Drosophila melanogaster: one gene and its partner. The protein of the gene in region 1 interacts with the protein of each later gene in a pairwise test. Each region holds a gene or a part of one and is shown on either strand. Other genes may lie near its edges. The genes, in order: Acf and Snm1.

Region 1 (7,635 bases):
TCACTCTTACTTTTAATGTCCAGTGAAACACACATAGCTTAGATTTCATAAAAAGTAATAATAACAATGCAGCATCCAACACTTTTTTCTCGATTAAGAAAGAATTTGGCAAATTAGGTTCTTTAAGCAATATTTTTTTTTTTGCGATCAAATCGTCTGTTTTAAAAACTGGCAAACTCCATCTACCCATTTTTCCTGCGTTTATACAGAGCTAAGCTCTTTTAAAATTTGTATTCATTTAATTTTAGCTTTTTACACCTCCAACAAAACAATTTTTTTTACTTATTTATTTTGAATCGTTTGTTTCCGGTCACTTCATTTATTGATTGTGGAATTTTCGTAGTGTCTACAATAATTTATAAATACATAAAGTCTCATAAACCAACAGATAAGGATTTTTTGCATATGCGTGTGCTGAACTTAGAACTGACATGCACGAAAATAAAGATCTTTAAATACACTTAATATTTGTGCTTAAATATATATGGTTTTCAACTACGGCTTAGAGTAGACTAACTAATTTACACGATAGCTGGTGGAGATCAGCGTCCGGCTCAGCAAGCTTTGACTTCCCCGTTCATATCGCTAGGCCTAAACGGTAGCTGCATGTCCCTACATCGATCGATCACGAATCGTTCTAGTTGACAACCAGCGCTGCAACGGATTCAAGATAAAGGATAAACAACAAGACCACTTACGGATTATCCCAATCTACTCACTCGTATATTTCGTTGCCTTCTACGTTGTACAAATCGCAGTTTCTAAACACCAACTGAATGTCGCTGAGCAGCTCCTCGTTTAGCTGGTAGGCGCCCATGTTTAGCTTGGATTTGATTTTAGCTAGATCCATGGGCGTTTTGATGATCTGATGGTAGTCGGGAACCTCCGATGTCAGCACTGGTCGCAGAAACGGCCAAGCGGCCTTGTGCTTCATGATCTGCTCAAGCAGATCGTACAAGGCGGCACTGTTCAACGGCATGTGCTCGTTCGTCCGACGCCCGCTTCTGCGATGGTTGTTGTTATTGACGCTGCTGTTGTTATTATTGTTGTTGTTGTTGCCGTTGCTTGGGCGGGCGGTCTTGTCGATAGATAGGCGCAAAGAGTTACGTGGTCGCTTTGCTTTTGGCTCCTCCTCATCGCGGTCATGATCACCATTCACTTGTTGGACAGAAATCACACGGGCTATTAGTGAGCTATTCATTAAGGAGAAATTTGTGGACTTACTGTTACTGTGCCGGCGCCTAGGTCGTTGTGGCATCGGCTTGCAGGTTTTACAAACGAAATCTGTGCGAGGCGGTCGCTTGAGGTGAACACATTCCAGGTGAAAGAATAGCCTGCATTGCACACATTTGATTTCACCGCCATCGTAGAAACACTTCTGACACACCTTTTCCTCATCTCTGTGGATTGCAATGGGTTCATTATCTAAATTTAATTTTCAATCCAGTTTTTAACTTACGACTCGTCTTCGATCGTATCTTCACCGGCGGTTAAGGATGCGTCATCGCTGACGTCTCCGCTGTCAACGTCTTCCTGAGCATGTTCTTCGATCTCTTTCGAAGTAAGTCTTCTGCTTGTTGGCCGTGTGCGGGGTCGCCTTAAAATTCGCCCATTGACTCTGGAAGATGAGGGGGTAGAGGTCACACTTTCGTCGTCCTCAACGTCCTCATCGTGTTTTTCGTTCTCGTGCTCCGCATCCTCATCGGTCATATCGTCATCCTTTTTCTCTTCCTCTTCTTCGTCTGTAGCTTCATCATCCTCCTCTTCTACGATAAACTTGCGTTTCTTCTTTGTCGCCTGCTTTTTATCCTTTTCGTTTTGACCATTGCTGAGACCCAGACTCTTTACGCAATCATTGCAATACCAGTTGCCCGGGGGTACAGACCTCAGCTTAGGCTTCAGGCAGAACATGTGAGTGCCAGCGTTGCATTCATCGCACAGCAGCATCTTCTCCGGATCGCTGCCACGCCTGCAGACCTTGCATAATGACTTATTGGTGGAACGCCTCCACTGAATACAGTCGTGCAAGATGTTTAGGTGCAGAAAGACTTGAGCAAAGCTTGTACTTTCCATTAGCGAAACTTCCCACTGGTGCAAACGCGAGTCGCAGGCAAGTTTTAAAGCCTCCTGCTTGGGGTCCCACTTCTTCATGCCGTAGGGTTCCTTCAGAAACCGTTTTCCAATAGCCTGCTCCACTTGCAGAAGGGCCGAGGCCATGTTATGCACGGCGATAGGAATCGAGACGGCATTCGTATGCTGATCCTCCTCATCGTCGCTGTCTGGTAGGGGTTTTGTGTCTGCAGAAGCTGCCAAATACATGCCAGGATCGCGATATGGTTTCCTGGCATATTTACCTAATAGTGCGCCATCGTCCTCCTCGTGAGTTTCGTGGGATTCGTTGTCAGAACCAGCTTCATCTTCCAACTTGCCACCCGGGCCCCACTGCAACTTGCACTGAGCGTCGTAATTGCCTCCAAGCAAGTCACTTCGCCACTTTTCCATATCCTTAACTTTCAGGCGGCCGAGATCACCAGTGTAAATATCATTTTCAAATTGAATAATTCGATCCACTAAATGCAAGCGCATCACTTCGTTTAGATCGGTCCCATTCGGTAACCCAAAGTTTGCTTCTCCGTATTTACGGTTAGTTTCAGATTCCATCGCCGCCATAAACTTCTTGCGCATTGTTTCGTTTTCTAGACTTAGCAAGTCTACTGGGCAGGTCTTAGCATGCTGTTCGATTAAGGAACGCAGAACGGATAGCTCTTGAAGGAGTTCATATTCACGGAGACCATTGGGATTGAGAGCCTTAATTAATTCATCGATCTCCTCGGCTTTGTAAATATATGCCCAACGCTGCCGTTGCCCATTTCTTGAATCATGCACAATACAAGATCGTTTGTCACCACTGCACATCAAGAGCTCAAAATGAGTGGGAGCCTCTGGAGAATCAGATTCGACATCCATGGGTTCTGCACTGCCGTTAAGGCGATGCTCTTGGTTCTCCTTGTTCTCTAGAGAGTGCTTGGCCTTTTTCTTAGTTTTCTTTTCGTCGTCTCCGTAGAGTTTGAGTAGATATACCCTTAGGTCCTTGCGATTCTTTGGCAATGCAGACTGCTGACGAATTTCTATTTGGGACTTATTTGTTATTGGTTGCTCCAAACAAGTGTCAAGGCTGTCCGGCGAATGCTCGACAAAGATCCCAGGCATAGACTCCAAAACGTAATATTTCCTGTAGCACCTATCCATGCCCAAGTAAACCAAAAAATTGAAAAGCTGCGAATGCAACTTAAGCATCTGCAACTCGTGCTTGCGATGTTGCTGATCCGATTGGGCGTGTAGCTCGGCAATACTCTTCTTTAATTTCTCGACCAACGCTTCCCTCTTTTCAGGCTCAACGCCATTTACCTCCAGGTGGTGCATTTGCGTGAGTTTTTTCCTGTTTATCTCTACGGCGGCTAATCTCTTATTTTCCCCGACAACTAGAGCTCGTAGATCTTGCCTGGCCTTTGCTGTTTGCTCCATACGCTCCTCAATCAAGTTAATCGTGCCCGAGTATGTCATAATTTGGGACATCAGGCAGCGAATCAGGAGCATTATATCCTTAAACTTTAGCTGATATACGGAATGATTTTTGAGAATGCGCAGGATGTGCGAGTGTTCCAGACGTAGTTCCAGACCAGGGTCTTCTTTTGACGAGTAGCCATTCCGGTACATGACTCTCCAGCGCTCCGCCTTTTCATTTACAAAAGCTCCGGATCCAAGTAGATGCAGTCGTAGCACTTCACTGAGAGTCAGTGCATCTAATGGTAGTTCATTTACCTATTGGGAAAATAAAATTAGTTTAGATAACACACGTCGGCACAAACAAAGTATTGACCTTAAAGGAAAAGTGCCTCTTGGCGTAAAGGTGACTTTTGGCGGCCTGCGCCATACTCCAATAGGGCTCCTGAGTTTGTGCAGCCCGATCGAGGTAGGTCACTGCGCATTCCTCCTCCTCTTCTTTTTGCAGATCGAAAACAGTGCCAAGCAGAACGAGGAGGATGTCCGATAGTGGGCCCGCAATCTCACGAGCAGTCAGTGCACGTGTCATCTCGTAGAAACTGAGGTTCTGACGGAACACCTCGATGCCGGACAGCAATCCTGTGTAAGTGTGCATAAACTCGCGCATCATGAAGGCATCACCCAGGAGGTGCTCAGGCAGCAATGTGACGATCTGTCTGTAGCGGGGCAGGACTTTTTGGTCGGTTCTCTCCAGGTCGTCCGTCTTTTGAAGCAGTAAATTACATTCGTTTTCAACGCGTTCAATCAACTGTGCCTTCTTTTCCGCCTTTTGTTTTTCCAACTCAATAAGCTTGGCCTCTTTTTCTCGCTTAACCCGCTCCAATTCCTCTGCCAGAGATTTAGCATCAGACTTGGCCTTCGCCTTTGACTTTGCAGCCGTTGCTTCACCGGCGACAATATATTTGTTGAGAGTGGATTGCTTCTTGCCGTCAGGTTTTTTAATCTTAGCGGGAGAATAACGTGGCATTTTGCCAATGAAAATTGTGGAGAAGTTTACGCCAGGGTCCGTCACGTACTGCTTGTATGCCTCTGGCTTGGGTCGAAGAAGTCCATCCACCCGCGATACATTGCTCTTTATAAACATACTCAGGTTTTCCAGGTTAAACTCCATGCGCGAGCGACGTAATTGCCTAAAGGGCAGATCAAGCTCTGCACTGGGATCGCCCTTGTTTGGTCGTAGTCTGTAGACCAGGTTGTCCGTGTCCTCATAGATACCATTGAGTGGTTCCGGCATATTTTTGTCCAACTTGACACCCAACACCGTGTACGTGGCGTTCTTCTTAGCTTGCACCGACACCTCCTCGCCGATAAAGTAGCGCTTGCGCAGAAACTTGGCCACTATCATGTTCAAGGTGTTGACCGCCGACTGTTGGGCGTGCTCCACAACCAGAAGGACGGGTGCCCGAAGGCTCTGTTTGAACTGCTCCATCTTCTTGCGAGCCGCCCGCTCACTTTTGACCGCCTCCTCGTAGGTGAGGTTCTCCTTGCCGGTGGCCTCGCACTGCCACACCGTTGAGTTGATCACCATCACGTGCCGGAAGTAGTGTCTGGATAAATAAATTTAATCGATCAGCGTTTTAAGGTCAATTTATTTTGATATAATTGAAGCTTGTCAGAGTAAAACATATTTAGTATGTTTGCTATTTATTAAAATAGTTTCGCGCTACCCAGCCTCTTAAATAATTGCTGATCTTAAAAATATCTAGAAGGATCATATAAGTCGAATTGGGTCAACAAATTCCAAATTCAAGAGCGCGCGCTTTGGCACCAGGTGGCAACTCCGCGGCGAGCAGCTGTGCGGCGGCAGCTGTAATTTCTTCCCGCCACCGAACAGCGTTTTTTTCGCCTTTGGCCCACGAGACTCGCACACTTATGCACCCCTGCGAACACACACACACACACACTGAATGGTGATGTACGGTACATCGTGTGCAAATGCTTTTGCAGCGTCGCTTTTGTTGTATACTTTAGCGCAGCGTCCACCTAATGGCAGGAGAAGGGAAGGGGCAGTTGCAGGAATGGTAGCAGGATGCACTTACTCATAGTCGCGAAAAATGCGCTTAGTGATGTAGCAGCAGAAGACCTGGTCGTTGTCGTGGAATGTTTCGTTCTTGCCCTCCTTCTGATTCAGGTCGAATCCTTCCCGCTTGCAAATGGGCATGTTTGGTGTTTTCCTTTTGCTCTTGAATGTCCTTAAGTTTAAATGGCAGTCCTTCGAAGTGCACGTTTAACAGTTCACAATAAAAACAACCGCGGAGCAACTGATAAATTTTACAACGCCAAGCGACAAGCGCAAAAGGCGCCCAACTTTTCACGCCTTTCCGGAGGGGCTTTCGATGCAAACGGTTTTCCAGCGATACGCGCGTTGACTTCCGACGCAATTATACAAGCTGTCGGCGGGCGACACTTTTCCGACAATTTCTACTATGTTTGTGGCTGGCTTCCTCAACACCAACTACCTAAATCCGTTTATTTTATAGCGCACAATCTATTTTCACGCGCATATTTTGGGGCCTATCGCTCTTCGACGTTAAACTATCGGTTATCGAGTTTCTGCGAACAATGTTACCGAACTTCACGAGCGCAGAAAACCGTAAGGACGCGGTCGGATGGATGTCAACAGTTCGATAAATAGTCCAGAATAATATAACGGTAATATTTTTTATGGGTTGCAACTTAAAAAAAACACAATATACGTAATATCAATTTCCCTAAAAGATATTGATGATATATGATAATCCCCAAAAGATATATGAAACATTAATATTTTCAACCATGCATCTCGTGAGTCGCCCATCTCAATTGCGATCTTGTGCGTGTGCGTTTTTCCAGCTGTGATAAGCGACGATCGCACACTTGCTCTGAATAAAGTATATTTGTTATTTATTCTTACAATTAATTCTACTAATAATGTACGCCAGACTGCTGCGAAACTTCGGCGCAAACGCCAGGTGAGGGAAATGATCGGCAGTTCTTTGTTAAGGCCGCTAAATCAAAAGACTTAATTTCGTTCTTGACGATTACATAAACCTTGCTAATTTGTTTTGGCTTGACGCAGGTGCTTTGCAACAGAAGCCAGCCCAAAAGTTCGGCCTATCAGCAAGATCCTTATTTCAAATCGTGGTGAGATCGCATGCAGGGTGATTCGAACCGCACGCAAGCTGGGAGTTCGTACCGTGGCCGTGTTCTCGGATCCGGACGAGAAGAGCATGCACACGCAGTTGGCAGACGAGTCGTACCGCGTGGGGGAAGCTGCCTCCTCGGCTTCCTATCTTCGCGGTGAACGCATCCTGGACATAGCCAAGCGTTCGGGCGCCCAGGCCATCCACCCAGGCTACGGCTTCCTCTCCGAGTCCGTCGAGTTTGCCGAGTTGTGCCAGCGTGAGGGCATCATCTTCATGGGTCCGCCCAGTTCCGCCATCCGGGACATGGGGATTAAGAGCACCAGCAAGGCCATAATGGCCGCTGCTGGGGTGCCGATCATCAATGGATACCATGGCGATGATCAGTCAGATGAGTGTTTGCAGCGAGAAGCCGACAAAATTGGCTTTCCCTTGATGATTAAAGCCGTCCGCGGCGGCGGAGGCAAAGGCATGAGAATCGCAGAAAAACCGGACGACTTCCTCACCGCTCTGAACTCAGCTCGCACCGAGTCCGAGAAGTCGTTTGGCGACAGCTCTGTGCTTCTGGAGCGGTACGTCCGATCTCCACGCCACGTAGAGGTTCAAGTATTTGCGGATCAGTATGGTGATGCTGTCTATCTGTGGGAAAGAGATTGCTCCGTGCAAAGACGTCATCAAAAGATTATTGAAGAGGCGCCAGCTGTAAGTGCACAAGAGCTTCGGCTATTTTAAAAATAATGCTCATTTATACAACAGCCAGGTTTGTCGGAAGATTTGCGTCGTGAGCTGGGCGAGGCTGCTGTTCGTGCAGCGAAAGCTGTGGGCTACGTAGGAGCTGGCACCGTGGAGTTCATTCTAGACAAAGAAGATCTCTCTTTCCACTTCATGGAAATGAATACCCGCCTGCAGGTGGAGCATCCTATAACGGAAATGATTACGGGCACCGATT
Region 2 (15,457 bases), about 26 Mb from region 1:
TCGTCAGCTGTTTGATTTGTCAACCATTTTTCGCTTCGTGTTCTTAGCGAAAATTAAATCGAACGCGTAATTCACTTGTTACATTTGCGGAGTGCATGGTGAGTCCCTATCTCGATGGTGTTTGAGATCCTCCGCGTCCCAAGATCCGTTTCTGAAATAAAACTGGGACAGAAGCTGGGGTTCTAAACCAAAAATCGATAATAAATTGCCAAACGAAATAGAAGCACAAAATTGAAGCAATTAGCAAGTAATGTAATCAACTTGCAGCCCGAATAATATAAGCATATTGTGCAGGAACATGCGAGCGGAGGAAAAGCGGAGGAGCAGATAACAGAACCAAGCGACGCCCAAAAAGTCGCGGATAGAAGCGCAAGAAGAAGCTGCAGCACAGCGCGGGCCTTTGTTGTTCCGTCAGCTGCGGATTGAGGGCAACGGCACCTCCCACTCATCCAGCCCTCTTGACCCACGCCCAATCACCCACGTGCCTGCCACCCCCTGCTCAGTGCGAACATGAGCGGCGCTCGGGATCAGACGGATCCCCCGCTGCTCCAGCTCGAGGACGAGGTGGATCTCATCGGGGACTTTGCCAAGGACCAACCTCCGCCCAGAAACCAACTGTCTCCGCTTTTAAATGGCTTCGAGTCGACAAGCAACCAGTTGACCACCAAAGTTGAGGTGAGTGCACTCCGTTCTCAACCTCACCTTCTGCAATACATATGGCAATATGAACTGACTTTTTCCTTAGATCAACACCGTCGGCATGGGCAAACGCAAGACAAGGAGAAGAGGGAAAAAGGCGCGGGAACCCATGCTACTGTCGGTGGACGACGAGGATGACGAGGAAGAGGCGCAAGAGGAGAGGAACCACACCAACGGGCTGCCGCCAGGCGAGGAGAGTGCCGGCGGCGATGCTGTTATTCAGAAACCGCAACTGGATAACTTGGTCATGCATTACGACGACCAGATCGACGACGAAGATGGCGAAGAAGCTGTGCTGCTGAAGAGAAGCTCAAACCCGCGCAACCAAAGACTCAAAGGTAGCGCTGAGGATAGCATCGACAGCAGCAGCCAACAGCCACCGATTATTTGTCACATCGCACCCGCGAAGGTAGCCTCATCTGCATTGACATCTCCGCTGAAAACCACTTCGCACACTGCTCTCGCCCGTCATCCGCATGACGAGGCCGACGACATCTGCCTGGTGCCAGAAATCGACTTCGAGGGCATGTCCACGGACGCCGGCAGCGACAACCGGGAGTCACAGCCGCTCTTGGGGGGAGGCAATGCCAGTCACGGAAGTCGCATCAGCGAGCTTTTGGGCGGACTAGGACGCGGGCACGATCATGTGGAGTTTGTATCGAACACATTTGGCGGTGAGTGCGCAGCGGTCTAATGAAGTCGTACAAGTTGCATTTCCTACCACACCCAGACCACATTGCTGCCTTGTTTGCTTTGTGGCTTTACTCATGATGTGCTTATCACTTCTACGGCTACATATGGTGGTTCTATCTCCACAAGCAGCGCAAGCTTAGAACAGATTATTTAGGGCCTCGATGTTATTCATTCAACTTCATCTAATTTCTTTTATACGGGGAGGATCTGTAACTGGAAACTAGCTATTTCGCCTCTGTTACATACTTGAATATAAACTAAACGTGAATATAAACTAGACAAAATGTCCGACCAAATGAACCAAAAAGACTCTTAAATAGAATGATAAGGGTTAGATTCCTAGCTGCTATACGTTTTAAATTTAAATTAAAGTCAACAAAAGCACCCTGGTCAACCCAAGCATTTCCGTCCTCCAAAAGAATTATTTACATTTAGATTTATTTAAAAACTAATACAAACTGCTTTTGTATTCCCTTGCTAAGATAAATAATACATATATGAATCAATGCAATCATAAGAATAACCACATTTCTATTGGTTAGTCCATGAAGTGCTTACTCAAATATTAGTCAATTTGTACGTTGTGCAGGGAATTGAGCTAACTTTTATAGATATATGTAGAGTGTGTTGTGGGAGCGATATACACTGCCAAATGAGTACTCATCTAGATCTTTGACCTTTGTGACTCAGGTGATTCGCACTGCTCTGCTGCCTTTGAACATACGCTGATGAGTAATACCCTCCGATTTGTTTTCGTTGCATTTCGAAATAACTTCCGAAAGCGATTTATAGTTTGTCTGTTCTTTTTGCAATCGTTTTACTCAGTACTGAATATCACTAGATGGCCATATTTCGCTTGCCCTTTGTATGTTAATCCTATAGTCATCGCCCCACATTTCAAAGCATTTTTTACAATTTTATGGTTTTTACAAGAATTAGTTTTTTTTCGAAATTGAGCACAAAATTGTGTGTTATAAATCTTGGTGTACTTGGATGTCACCGTGGACGTCTGTAGCTCGGAATCGAAGTCAGTCGGGAAGCATATAAAGAATTTCGAGGAAGGCACTTCAAAAATGGAACTTGTTCCTTTGGCAACTGTCGCCAATTGGACATAGCCCCATGCCGAAAAACAACATTAAGTCGTTTCTCAGCCAGGTGCCGTTGCCGAACGCTATAGCAGCCAAGTACCAAGAGCCAAGCGAACCAAGAGACGATGAGCAGCCCACGACAAGCAAGGATGCGCTGGAGAGCAGCTCCTCGGTGCCCTCCGCCTCCGCCGCCTACGCCTGCATCTGTTGCGAGCACAAGTGCCCGCTGGAGAAGGATTTCTTGGAGTCGCAGTCGGACAAGGAGGGCGATCCGCCCTTTCTGGTGAACTCACCGTCGATGGCGCGTGACTCCAAAGACACAGTAACCGTTCAAATCGCGGCTCCGCGCTGCAATTGTGCCAACTGCCCGCTGAGGAACCTCTGTAAGTGGTGGCAAGGGGTTGGCCCTTATCGAAACGCTTTGGCTATGCTAATTGTGACCTGGTTCTCCTTTATCAACTGCCAGCCGACTCGAAACCTCTCGACTGCCGGCGCACTTAATATACCAGTGCCTCCATGTCGCGCTTGTCGAGCAGCAGTCGCGAAAACTTCATACCGCAAGTGTTTACCATTTGCCAGGACTTGCAGGGCGATTTCAACGACAACTTTGATTTCATAGGTAGCGTGGAGAGGATTAGCGTAGTCAACAGTCCTATGCCATTCCTTGATATAAAGTAAAGTGTAGGATGGGGTCTTGAATTTCATCGCAGTCTTATAAGCGTTTTCGTGCATGTTTGCTGTAATTATTTTTATCCAACAGATGGCACGTTATTTCGTTGGTGTGTTTATAAATTATTAAAACCATAATTATATAGCAAATTTGTTCAATTTTAATAAATGACGAACAGTCCGTTTTTTACCCGTCGCTTGAGGCATGCGAATCTTCGTTCTACGCACAAACTTTTTTAGTAATTTAAAGCCCTAGTGCTAATGCCTATTTTTAATTTTAATCTTTGATTCTTATAGATGACCCGCTTTTCTCGGAGATCGTGGCGAAGGCGGAGGGGGCCATCGAGAATGGTGTGCTGCCCGAGCGCATTTACCAGGGTAGCAGTGGTTCCTACTTTGTCAAGGATGCCTCCCATGTGAGTAGGGAATCGGGGTGACGATCTTCTAGCCGTTCTTGCGCATAAGGTGGGAGTTGGGTCGTCCAGTTCTGGGCCTAACTTCGTCGATCTTTTACTTTTCCGCGCATAGATAAATAAGATCGGGTAATCGGGGAAGTACTGCAAATATAAGGCTTTTGCAAAACTTTTGGTTTTTTCCTGAAACAGTTTCAAAATAGTGAATTGTATATTGTTTACCCGCTTATGCTCTATGTATTTATTATGCCATTTCTTATGATGCTCCCCCTTAGCAATGCCTGGCCGTATTTAAGCCAAAGGACGAGGAACCCTATGGCAGACTGAATCCGAAGTGGACGAAATGGATGCATAAGCTGTGCTGCCCGTGTTGTTTTGGCCGAGCTTGCTTGATTCCCAATCAGGGGTAAGATAATACAAGTTGTCACCATTCATTAAAAGCCAATTGAGGAACTTATTTCATTTGTTGATATATATATTAAAATGGTATTTATATTTCTTAGGTACCTCTCCGAATCAGGAGCCAGCTTGGTTGATCGAAAACTCAATCTGAATGTGGTTCCAAAGACGCGAGTGGTCAGATTGGTTGCCGAGAGCTTTAACTACGCACGCATTGATCGACAGAAGGCCAAGCTGAAGAAGCGCATTAAAGAGCACTATCCGTCGGCTCACTTCAACCGAATGAGCCTTCCTCTAAAGGTGAACTCGTCTCCAAAAACAAACCGATTGGGTATTAACCAAGTCAAAATTCCTTGCAGACTGGCTCCTTTCAGCTCTTCGTGGAGGGTTACAAGGATGCGGACTATTGGCTGCGGCGCTTTGAAAGCGAACCCTTGCCGCCTTCAGTGGCGAAGTCGTTCCAACTGCAGTTCGAGCGCCTCGTCGTGCTCGATTATATCATACGCAACACGGACCGTGGCAACGACAACTGGCTGATCAAGTACGTGGCCCCTAAGATCACGACCCAGGTGGGAGGCACTGGCGGCAGAACTATGCACGGAGTTGTGACCCCCAAATTGCCCAATGCGTTGGGGGCTTCAAAAATCGTTGACCTAAACGAGCCGCCGCAGGCTAGCCCGAAACCGACTACTGGTGGTCGCCCTTCGAACCACCTAGCGGGTGGAGCAGCCACAAGTGCACAGCAAGATAGCAGCAGTTTGGCCAGCAGCGAAGATGAACCCTCGTCGAGATCCCCCCCTACGTCGGAACCCGATTGGAATGTGGTGAACTCGGCCTTCATTCGGATCGCTGCCATCGACAATGGTCTCGCTTTTCCCTTCAAGCATCCGGACTCTTGGCGAGCTTATCCCTACCATTGGGCCTGGTTGCCACAGGCGAAAATTCCGTTTAGCGAAGAAATCAAGGAGCAGGTGCTGCCGCAGTTGTCAGATATGAACTTTGTAGAGGAGATCTGCACGGAGTTGTTGTACCTCTTCCAGCAGGATCGCGGCTTTGACAAGCGTCTCTTCGAGCGCCAGATGTCGGTGATGCGGGGCCAGATTCTAAATCTCACACAGGCACTGAGGGATGGCAAGTCGCCGGTGCAACTGGTCCAGATGCCAGCGGTGATTGTCGAGCGGTAAGTATCATACTTTCATGACTCCGGATTATAGGAGGCCAATAATGGTTTCTAACATTTCAGATCAAGTGGCAGTCGTTTCTTCTCTTTTACGCAGCGCTTCCAAAATAAGAGCCCTTTCTTCTCTTGGTGGTAGGTTGCCGATTCATTGGTACTTCGTCGCATTGTCACTTACTAGCCACTTACTTCACTTTTAGCTAAATGACCATGGAGCAGCCCCTGCCGACCCCACCAAAAATCAAATCGAGCAGCCGGTTACTACAGTCTCATCTTTTTCATCATGTATATGCGCTTAGTTGTTGTCTAGTATACTTCCAAATCGTAATCACGGAGCACGGAGCCTAGAAATGTATTTTTTGCCAAAAAACTCAAATGGTCATATTCAATAATTAATTACTTGTATTACTAGTTTCTGGGATGACTTACCCATACCATGGTTACATATTTAGGAAATATCTTATGTTTGTCAAGTGCTTGTATAGTCAATTGTTTTCGCATAAAGTATGCAGAAATCAGAAGGAGATCATTTTAAAGCACTCGCTCAAGTGGTTTATACATTTCTTTATTATTTGAATGAAATCATAATGCATATAGGTGAAAAATACAAAGCTCATTTACATTCGTTAGCACTTGAGTTAAGGTCGCCCATTGTTATTAGCATTAGCACATATTTAATGGTTTCCTTTCCTCCAAACTAAAACTCAATTTATTTCATTATGTACGGTTCGCAACTAAATAGTGTGGGAATATATATATATATCAACCAAAATACATATGTAAAGTATTTAAAAGGCAAGCCTTATATAAAAGATATTAAAACATTATAAAAGTTTAACAGAAACTAAAGCCCTTTTCGAACATAAGTATGTATATACCTTATTATTTCATAACAAAATATCTTAAAACTACTAGCAGCCATACTTAAATCCAAAGGACTTTTTTATCCGAAATTTAATCACTACAGGAGCCAATCGTCTGATGCATCGGATGTCAGTCTACTAACCACGACTGCCTGGCTTTTCTGGACACCAATAACATTGCAATCCGTACTTTGAAATGTATCTTCCGTTGGGACACGAGGTATGAGGACTGCATCAGGTGCGATAGTTTCGTTTTTAATGTCTATTTCAACATATGGAATTTCGGATTCCATCGCATTGAGTTGTGCAACTATTTCAGAATTCGGTGACGTGTCCGGTGCCAGAGGCTCGTTTTTAACTGGTATCTTGGAATCAGTTTGAAAACACTCTTCCGGAGTGTCGGATATAATAGTTACATGATTCGTTGGCACCACGGACTCCCGGTCATCGTCTTTCTTATCTTCACTCCCTTTGGAAGCATTCTCATCCACGGGGCTCAAGAACATTTCAGTATCTGCACTGAATTTTGCAAAAGCTCGCTTCGGCGTAGCTAGGAAAGTGGATATCGAAGGCTGAAACCCAGTACGCAGCATAGATGCCCGACCTTCGTACTTGTACCACCGTATGGGCACCTCTCCAGTGACATAGAGATCGCGGCCCACGGGAACGGTGCTTATGACTCGCTTTGGCTTGAGGAAGCGAACAAAGCGCTCCAACTCCTTGTAGCTGGAGTGTTCTGAGTACTCAATGCCGATCGTGCTAATTCGCTTGCCGTACGAAGGCTTTGAGTTCTTTTCCCAACCGCTGGGCCTTATGCCCAGCAACATGTCATATTGGTCCTCGAATTCAGTAAAGTAATCGACTAGGCTCTGAAACAAAATAATATCGCTAACTAAAAAATTGATATATTTTAGAAATACACTTACCGGATAGCTGATTTTTCCCATTGCAATGACGTGCAAGTTTGCTCCGCTGCGATCTTCTGTTAGCACGGAGTCTAGATCCGGCCAATTCAGGCATCTTACTGCAGTGCTGCGATTGCTTTCCGTCCAAACCCTCATTGTGAACTCCTTCGCTAAGGCCAACCATATCTTCTCCTTTCCTATCACGTAGGAGCCGCAGACGATAAGGATTCGTTTGGCTGCATTTTTCTCTAGGAAGGCGCGCACCAGATCCACCGCTCGGTCAACGCTCTCGCTTTGGTGGCAGAAGTCGTAGTTTTTGTTCATATACGTTGTGTCCAGATAAAGCAGGTCGATGTTTGAATGGTTCCAGAAGATTGGTAGGGATTCCATGTCCGCGCTAGCTCGGAAGTCCCCGGTGTGCAGTATGCATTCGCCAGAGCTCAGTTTGAAGAAGAACATGAGTGCTCCAGGACAGCTGAAAGGTGAGAAATAGCAGTTTGGTAAGCTGCCAAAAAAAAGCGACTGCTCTTACTGGTTAGCTTCTAAGGCGGTTACTTGGACGCCATCTACGTCCAGGGTCTGGTCCACATCAATTTCGTGAATGTGCGTTTCATCGAGTTTAATAAACGTTCGCACCAAGCGCGCTGAAATAGGACTCACGTAGAGGGGATGGCAGAACTTTTTAGTCAGGCCGATGTAGTGATCCGCATGAAAGTGCGTGAGAAAGTAATGTGTGACTCCCTCTATTTCCCCAAACTGAAAGCCGTCGACGCAGAAGGATGTACCCTCCACTACTTTATAGGGCGGACAAGGCTTTGGTTTTCTTTGTTTGCGTACAGTTCCTTTTTTAGAGTTTTTGCCCAGGGGGCTTTCCTTTGTGATTGCAGCCGGCGATGACCGGTAAAAGTTATTCGTTGGGGATTTGTTGGGACCGGGGGAGATTTCCACTAGGTCTAGGCTGGAATTGCTTAGCTTGGCTTCTGGCATGGAAGTCTCTGGAGTTCTAAACTTGGTTGCTTGGACATCGCTGCTTTTTTCACAGGGAGAGGCTATCGCGGATGGCTTTCTTTTTATGGTCTGCTCGTCCTCGGAGCACAGGTCAATTACGTGCACTTCGGAGAGGCTAGCGTTCTCCTTGCCTTTCGCACGGCGACTAGGCTGCACTCGCTTCTCTGACGGCTTTGCATCCAGCTTGCCCGTAAAGGCAGATGAGGTTGTTGTAGACTCCTCGAAGAGGCGCTTGCGCCCTTTGGTAGATACCTTTCGCTTGTCCAACGGAGGATCCACCTTCCTGCAAGAGGAACTTGACTTGACTTTGTAGTTCTTGACGGCACTTGTAAAAAAGCTATCGATGCGCATTTGTCCTGGCAGCGGAGTCTTCTTGCTGGAACGCTTGAACGCAGTGCTGGCTATGATTGGACATGCTTCCGTCTTTGGTCGGACCTTTTTTGTCGTGGAAGCCGCACGAGTTCTTCCCGCTCTTTTCTTGTCCGGCGTTCTGTTCTCGATCGTGGGCGTTGGGTCCGGTTCTACATTTACTCGTACTGTGGCCTGCAGATCCGCAATGGATCTTATCTTTATTTTCCCTACATTGGACATCCTGTTTACATATAACAAATAGGGCCAGGATCGCACGGTTCGATTGCCAGAGAAACCGCTTTTATCATATCGACAGGCGATAAAGCACAAGGTCATACTAAAATCAAGCGCTTAATTTAAATTGCCGCCATATCTCTCAAGCAAAAATTAAGTATATATAATCTTTTTAACGATTTTCGGGAAAGGATTAGGAATATGGCAGGGACCACGATTAAATGCAATTCATTGCTTAAACGCAGCCATACCATTGGGAGACCAAATAAACTTCCACAGCAGCCGATATGCCGACAGACTTAGCGCCCACCCGAACACGTTGGCGAATGATCTTGTCGACCTTATTTCCCTCCGACGTCTGAAGAGAATACAATAATCTCTCCACGGTACATATGTGTACACTATAATTAAGGAACAGAATCCATAATATCTTTTAAGCTACACATTAGGTTAAGTTCAGAAGGAACTGAACGATTCCTAATGCATAATAATAAATGATTTAAACTTAAAAAAAAAAAGTTTAAAAAAATATATGTATATATATTTTATATAATTTTAATATAATATTACCTGCACAGCAGTGACAGCACGGGTTTAGATGTTTTACATATCCATGTACATAGCAGCATGTTCACTTTTAGTTATTAAAGTTCGACCAGTGATATTTTTATTGAACTGAAAATGTTATGCAACTATCGATATTATATATATTCAACAGATATTATTTCAATATAAATTCAACAGAGGAGTTAAACTTATTAGATGCAGGACATACGACCCAAAACTCAGTTGATGTATGAGTACTGCTTGAATGTGTCGATTGCTTGTCAGTGTTATCGTTGGCCTGCCACCTCTGGTACAATATTATAACAAACTAAACAAAACAACAAGACGGTGGAAAAAGGGAATCTTGTGGTGCGGATTGGTAAACTGGGCTTCTTCTTCCGCGCCTTCAGCATGGCGTGGCGATCCGTGGGAGCCAATAATGAAGACCTGATTCGCCAACTGAAGGGTGAGCCCTTGAATTCGCTCCGTTTAATGGGCCGAGTTAATAATAGAACCGAATCCCCAAGATCACGGCGTCATTGCAAGTGATGCGGTGGCCCAGGCGATGAAGGAAACCGACCGCAAGCACTACTCTCCGCGCAACCCCTACATGGACGCCCCGCAACCCATTGGAGGAGGTGTCACCATCAGTGCTCCTCACATGGTAACTCCTAGCCAGGACATTGAAAAACAAATAGTTTGCTCGCCATGTTTGCTGTGGGAGTCAATGCCCACACTCAAGATGCTTTTAGGAGGCAGCATAAAAAAGTAGCTTTCTTTAATCCACTAAAAACATATCAATGGCTCATCATTTGAAGACTAGTTCTTCACTCCCGTAGCTTCTTCCCATCATATTCTTATAATTTCTGAAAGTAAAGTGTCTTTTTAAACTGGAGATTAATACATTTTTCTTTCCCAGCATGCCTTCGCCTTGGAGTATCTACGCGACCACTTGAAGCCCGGTGCACGTATACTGGATGTGGGCTCTGGATCTGGCTACCTCACAGCCTGCTTCTATCGTTACATCAAGGCTAAGGGCGTTGATGCGGACACCCGAATCGTGGGCATAGAGCACCAGGCAGAGCTGGTGCGGCGGAGCAAGGCCAACTTAAACACCGACGACCGTAGCATGCTGGACTCCGGCCAGTTGCTGATCGTCGAGGGTGACGGCCGCAAGGGATACCCCCCGAACGCCCCGTATAATGCAATCCATGTAGGAGCAGCTGCTCCCGACACACCCACCGAACTCATCAACCAACTGGCCAGCGGCGGACGCCTGATAGTTCCAGTCGGTCCCGACGGCGGGTCTCAGTACATGCAACAGGTGGGCAGATGCTGATTCGTATAACTGCTGGAATAATATGTATATGTAATAATAATAATATATATATATATAATAATATACATAATAATATATATATATAATAATATACATAATAATATATATATATCATAATATACATAATAATATATAATAATATACATAATAATATATAATAATATACATAATAATATATAATAATATATAATAATATAACCATTTTTACAGTACGACAAGGACGCCAATGGGAAGGTGGAGATGACACGTCTCATGGGCGTAATGTACGTCCCTCTCACGGATCTTCGCTCCTGACTGCACAGAGTGGGAAGGTCGCTCGTTGCGGTGCTGCTGCTCGTGTTTTTTCTCTACCTAATTTTGGCTTACTAGTTAATCAATCAATCAAAATTAAATTGCTTTTTTTCACGTTGAGTGCAAATATATAAGTTTACCGAACAAACGCTGTCTTTTCGTTTTTTTGTTTAAAGTTACCAAGCAGCTTCAACATTTCATATTACATTAATGAAATCATAATTTTTTTATGTCCGTAGTGAGATAAATTTTAACTACACCTTTAAGAATTTTTCCCCGATTTACAGATTTAGTTTTAATAGTGATGAAGAATAGGATAATTGTTAAATATTCGTGCTTAATATTATTAATTAAATACTTATACTTCGAATGGTTAAGTTTTAAATAGTTGACTGGCTTTGTTTCATCAAACCAGCTCACCATCATAGACATTTATAAATTGAGATCCAACAAGTGAACTATAGATGTCCGGAACGTAAAATATAATTTAATCAGTCACAATTTAATCAAGTGCTAAAACACCAAAAGTGTCCCTAAAACATTCAGGAACAGCATTACCATTTATTTAATCAGGATGTTTTAAAAAAATTACGTTTATACCCGTTATTCGTAGAGTAAATAAGTAGACTATAAGTAGATTCTTCGAAAAGTAGAAAACAGGCAGAAGGAAGCGTTTTCGACCATATAAAGTATATATATTATTGATCAGGATCAATAGCCGAGTCGATCTGGTCATGTCCGTCTGTCCGTATGAACGGGATCTTAGGAACTATAAGAGCTAGAAGATTAAGATTCAGCATTCTAGAGACATCGACACAGCGCAAGTTTGTTGACCTATGTTGGCACGCCCACAAACCGCACAAAAATGTCACGCCCACAATTTTGAAAAATGTGTTAATAATTTTAAGCAAAAATACAGTTTCTCTAGATTTTTTGCCACGCCCACTCTAACTCCCTTCAACCGCCCAAAACTGCTACGGCCACATTCAAGCAAATTTTTCTCAATTTTATTAGACGTTCAAATTTCTATCGATATGAAAAAAACTTTTTGCCACTCCCACTCTAACACCCTAAAGACACCAAGTCACGCCCACACTTTTGAACAATTTTTATAATGATGAATAATGATGGAATTTCACGTTCGCATTCACACTAGGTAAGGAACGGGTATCAGATAGTCGGGCAACTCGACTATAACATTCCTTCTTGTTTTATATTAATTATACAATATATGTACATTTCTATAGATTTGACCTTTTGCCACGCCCACTATTATGCCCACAAACTACCAAAAGCTGACAAGCCGACTTTTTGGAAAAATATTTTTATTTTTTTCCGTTTTATGGATTATCTTACCCATTTCTATCGGTATACCAAAAGCATTTTGGCAACGCCCCTTCTTACACATTTTGTCTCATTTTATACCCAATCGATATCCCAGAGAAAGTACATGAAATTTTGGTTCGCACTTGCACTAGCTGAGTAACGGGTATCTAAAAATCGACTAAGGCGTTACCTCTCGTATGCGACAGCATGGGAAATATTTTGAGTAAAATTATTGATATAAATATTGGAGATTACACTTTAAATCAGTGCAAAACAAATTTTAAACAATAATCGCAAATATAGTATAGTATGTATATATATATATATATATATACCAAACTGTATGAAACTGATACGGACTTTCCTATTCCCATTCGTACTAGGCGGTTTCTACAATTTCACTTGACAATTATGTCAAAGTCAGGTTCAGTCGGTTGTGGAAATGCTGTAAAGGGCAGTAGTCGAAAGGAGCTCGACCTGGGAAGTTCTCCCAGAGGGCACACATTACACAAAAAAGTCTAAAAACGCGGTTTATTAAATGAACAGTTTTATTTTTATATTAAGTAAGTTTGTACAAAATCAACAATGATGGGAAGTGAATCTGTGCTATTAGGGATATATTGTTTTTTAAGTGTATCCGGAGTGCAACCGTCAATGATGATTAACCTAATTAACCTAGCTACCAAATTGTGGACCACGTAATACAACCCACATATATGTGATGATGATATATATGATATATAATATAATTAACTTTGTAATTAAATAACCGGCTAAGCTAAAATAATTGGTTATGAAGTGTTTTTGTTGGAAACAGTATTACTCCTCGGATAGGTTGTGGCAAGCTTTGCCAATGTTGAACTGACATTCAAAAAAAAATCAAACAAGCCGCATTTGAAACTCTCGCTTGATATTTTTGAAAATTCAATTGGCGGGTATCGGTATCGAGTGACGACCCTTTCTGACCGATAACGGCGTCGTGCATCGCCTATCGACCAGTGGCATCACTAGTGCCAAAATGTGGCAGTTTGAAAACAAAAACGCAACTAAAATGAAAACGTCTCAGAATGAAATGCCCGACAAGGACAAAAGTTTTCGCAGACATTCTTTGTCGCCGCGTTCTCTATCCGCGATATTCTTCCACAGCACTGGTCTGCATCTGGACGACGGAGTAGCACAGTGGCTATCCATCAATGTTAAGGAAGACATTACAAATCTGCTAAACGAGGCTGGAAAATACATGCGGCGCATCCGGGATCGGCGATTGCAACTGTCTCACATCCAGCATGCCGTCCGAATGCACGACGACCTCTGCTATGACATCTTTTTTAGGCTGGTCCATTGCGACGATTGCAAAATGCCTCCTTCCCAAAAAGTATTAAAAACCGTCCGCGAAGCTGTAACCGCCGAAAAAAAGGATGAACTTCTCGTTTCCTACCCGGAATCCGTGCAGGAATCTGTGCCGGAACCCGTGCCGGAGACTTCATTGGAGCCGCCTCCCATGCACACCGGGTGGCTAAAGGTGGAGCAGGTGCTGCTAAAGCCCAGCAAGCGCTATCCGCTGAGCATGGAACAGCAGAACTTCTTCGAGTTGGTAACCGAGGCCTGCGTAGGCGACTTGGAATCCCGGCGCGTGCTTGCTCTCAAAGCCATCTCCACTGATCCCTCGCTGGAGGAGTTGCTGCCCAGGTTGACCAAGTTCATTGCGGACGCAGTGGCTATCAACGTGGCCCAGCAGAACCTGCCGCTGCTCCTTTACCTTATGCGCATGGTCCGAGCTCTTTTGGGAAACCAGCGCTTCAGCCTATTGCAATATGTAAGTATTTGGTTCTGAGAGGAATAGGATAAGCTGAAGAATGCATCTGTTGAATTGCAGCTCCACCTGCTCCTGCCAGCCGTTCTATCCTGCCTGCTGGCCAAACAAGTGTGCGCATCTCCGAACTCGGAGGATCACTGGGCCTTAAGGGAATACTCCGGAAACATAATGGCCCACATAGTGCGCCAGTTCGACGCTGCCGACAACGGCATCCTGCCCAGAGTCATTGGGCAAGTACTCATCATGTGTGGGTTCTTTGGGTTATTTGTGAATTCATATCATTTTATTAGAGAGAAATCCATCTGGTAGAGGAATATAATCATATTAATTAATATTAATATGTCGTTACAAAATACCTAACGTAGCTCGTTTCACGTTAACTCATTGTAAATCATATAATATCTGAAATAACCACCAAGCTATTAATTAAATAAGTTGCTTACCCCTTCGATTTATATTGATAATAATTTTAGATAACAGCGATAATAACGTCTATGGCGCAAATGTTGCGTGCGACCACATGCTTAAAGAAGTGTGCTAAAAGTTTATTAAAATAACATCTCGCTGCTCGCTAAATCAATTGATTTTTGCTTGCAATCTCTATCGGATTAAAAAATATTCATTTATATTCCAGTGTTTACAACAAGGCGCTATTGAAGAAGCCACTGACAACGGTGTTTGGGGCCGTCATAGGCCTGGGAAAGATGGGGAATCATGCGGTCCGCGCATGCATTTTGCCTCAATTGAAGTACCTATCTGAACACATCGATTCACACATGGCCGCCAGTAATGACTCTCCCAGCTCCAGCGTAGACAGGCAAGCAGTTAAGTACATTCGTCATCGGTTGATGAAGATGTGCTCTCCCGTGCTGATGGGCATACATCAACCCCCTGATCTGCCGGAAGAGTTTATGGAGAGATATGGATCTTTGGGCACGCTGATGAGCGATGGCGTCACCGTGATGCGTACGAAGAAACAAGCAGTGGCTGCAGCCAAGGCGGAAGCAGAACTGAAGTTGAAAAATATGGCTACAGAACACCTTAACTCCAGAGGGAAAGGATCTCGATCCGTCGGCTCCAACGATCTTGTCTCTGGCACCCAGCTGCCCAAGAATGGTATTCGTCCCACAAGCCAAGCACCCAAATCTGTCTATTCAATTTCTGTGAATGGACAGACCGTCAAAATTTCGACGCCAAATCTTTGCAATACAATGCTTCAGCATCAAAAGAAGGATTTATTTTCCAAACCATCGGACTTTGTGGTTCCTCAATTAGTGGTTAATCAATTCAAAAACGGCTTAATCCCGTCCAATTCCCAGCGATCCAGTTCGCCGGCCAGGAACGTGATACATTTGAAACCTAACAACGACCATCCTTCAAAAATGGCTTTGTTCCTACGTCAAGCAATAACGGCAGATTGTCCAATAATTACTTAATTCAATAACCTATCTCTGTATGAAATAATTAAAAAATAAAATAATACACTTTTTATATTACAATCTTCCGCAAAGGTTTGCTTTGCAGCCATTGGAAGACAGGTCAAAACCTCACCAATATTGCTTTAAAACTAGTTATAAGAACAAATTGAGCGCATTCCGAATGGACACACAGAAGTGGATATCAGTATTTTGTATGTTGGA

The links.
Region 2: the proteins of Acf (region 1) and Snm1 interact in a two-hybrid assay, tested with the Drosophila melanogaster proteins (one large-scale study listed by BioGRID).

The regions. Positions count from the first base shown.
Region 1 is NT_033777.3:31,792,458-31,800,092, reverse strand, and holds Acf (ATP-dependent chromatin assembly factor large subunit), read right to left. Parts: upstream 6,113-7,635; 5' UTR 5,726-6,112; coding exon 5,604-5,725; intron 5,112-5,603; coding exon 3,881-5,111; intron 3,823-3,880; coding exon 1,460-3,822; intron 1,401-1,459; coding exon 1,225-1,400; intron 1,159-1,224; coding exon 720-1,158; intron 655-719; coding exon 555-654; 3' UTR 294-554; downstream 1-293. Other genes in the region: Mccc1 (Methylcrotonoyl-CoA carboxylase 1), read left to right, coding at 6,475-6,515, 6,623-7,388, 7,443-7,635.
Region 2 is NT_033777.3:5,548,183-5,563,639, reverse strand, and holds Snm1 (Snm1), read right to left. Parts: upstream 8,557-15,457; 5' UTR 8,506-8,556; coding exon 7,439-8,505; intron 7,382-7,438; coding exon 6,928-7,381; intron 6,871-6,927; coding exon 6,100-6,870; 3' UTR 5,854-6,099; downstream 1-5,853. Other genes in the region: Pi4KIIalpha (phosphatidylinositol 4-kinase II alpha), read left to right, coding at 511-675, 746-1,373, 3,447-3,565, 3,838-3,968, 4,066-4,261, 4,321-5,141, 5,205-5,273, 5,339-5,342; Pcmt (Protein-L-isoaspartate (D-aspartate) O-methyltransferase), read left to right, coding at 9,457-9,511, 9,573-9,709, 9,965-10,369, 10,595-10,678; mia (meiosis I arrest), read left to right, coding at 13,020-13,817, 13,878-14,047, 14,452-15,253.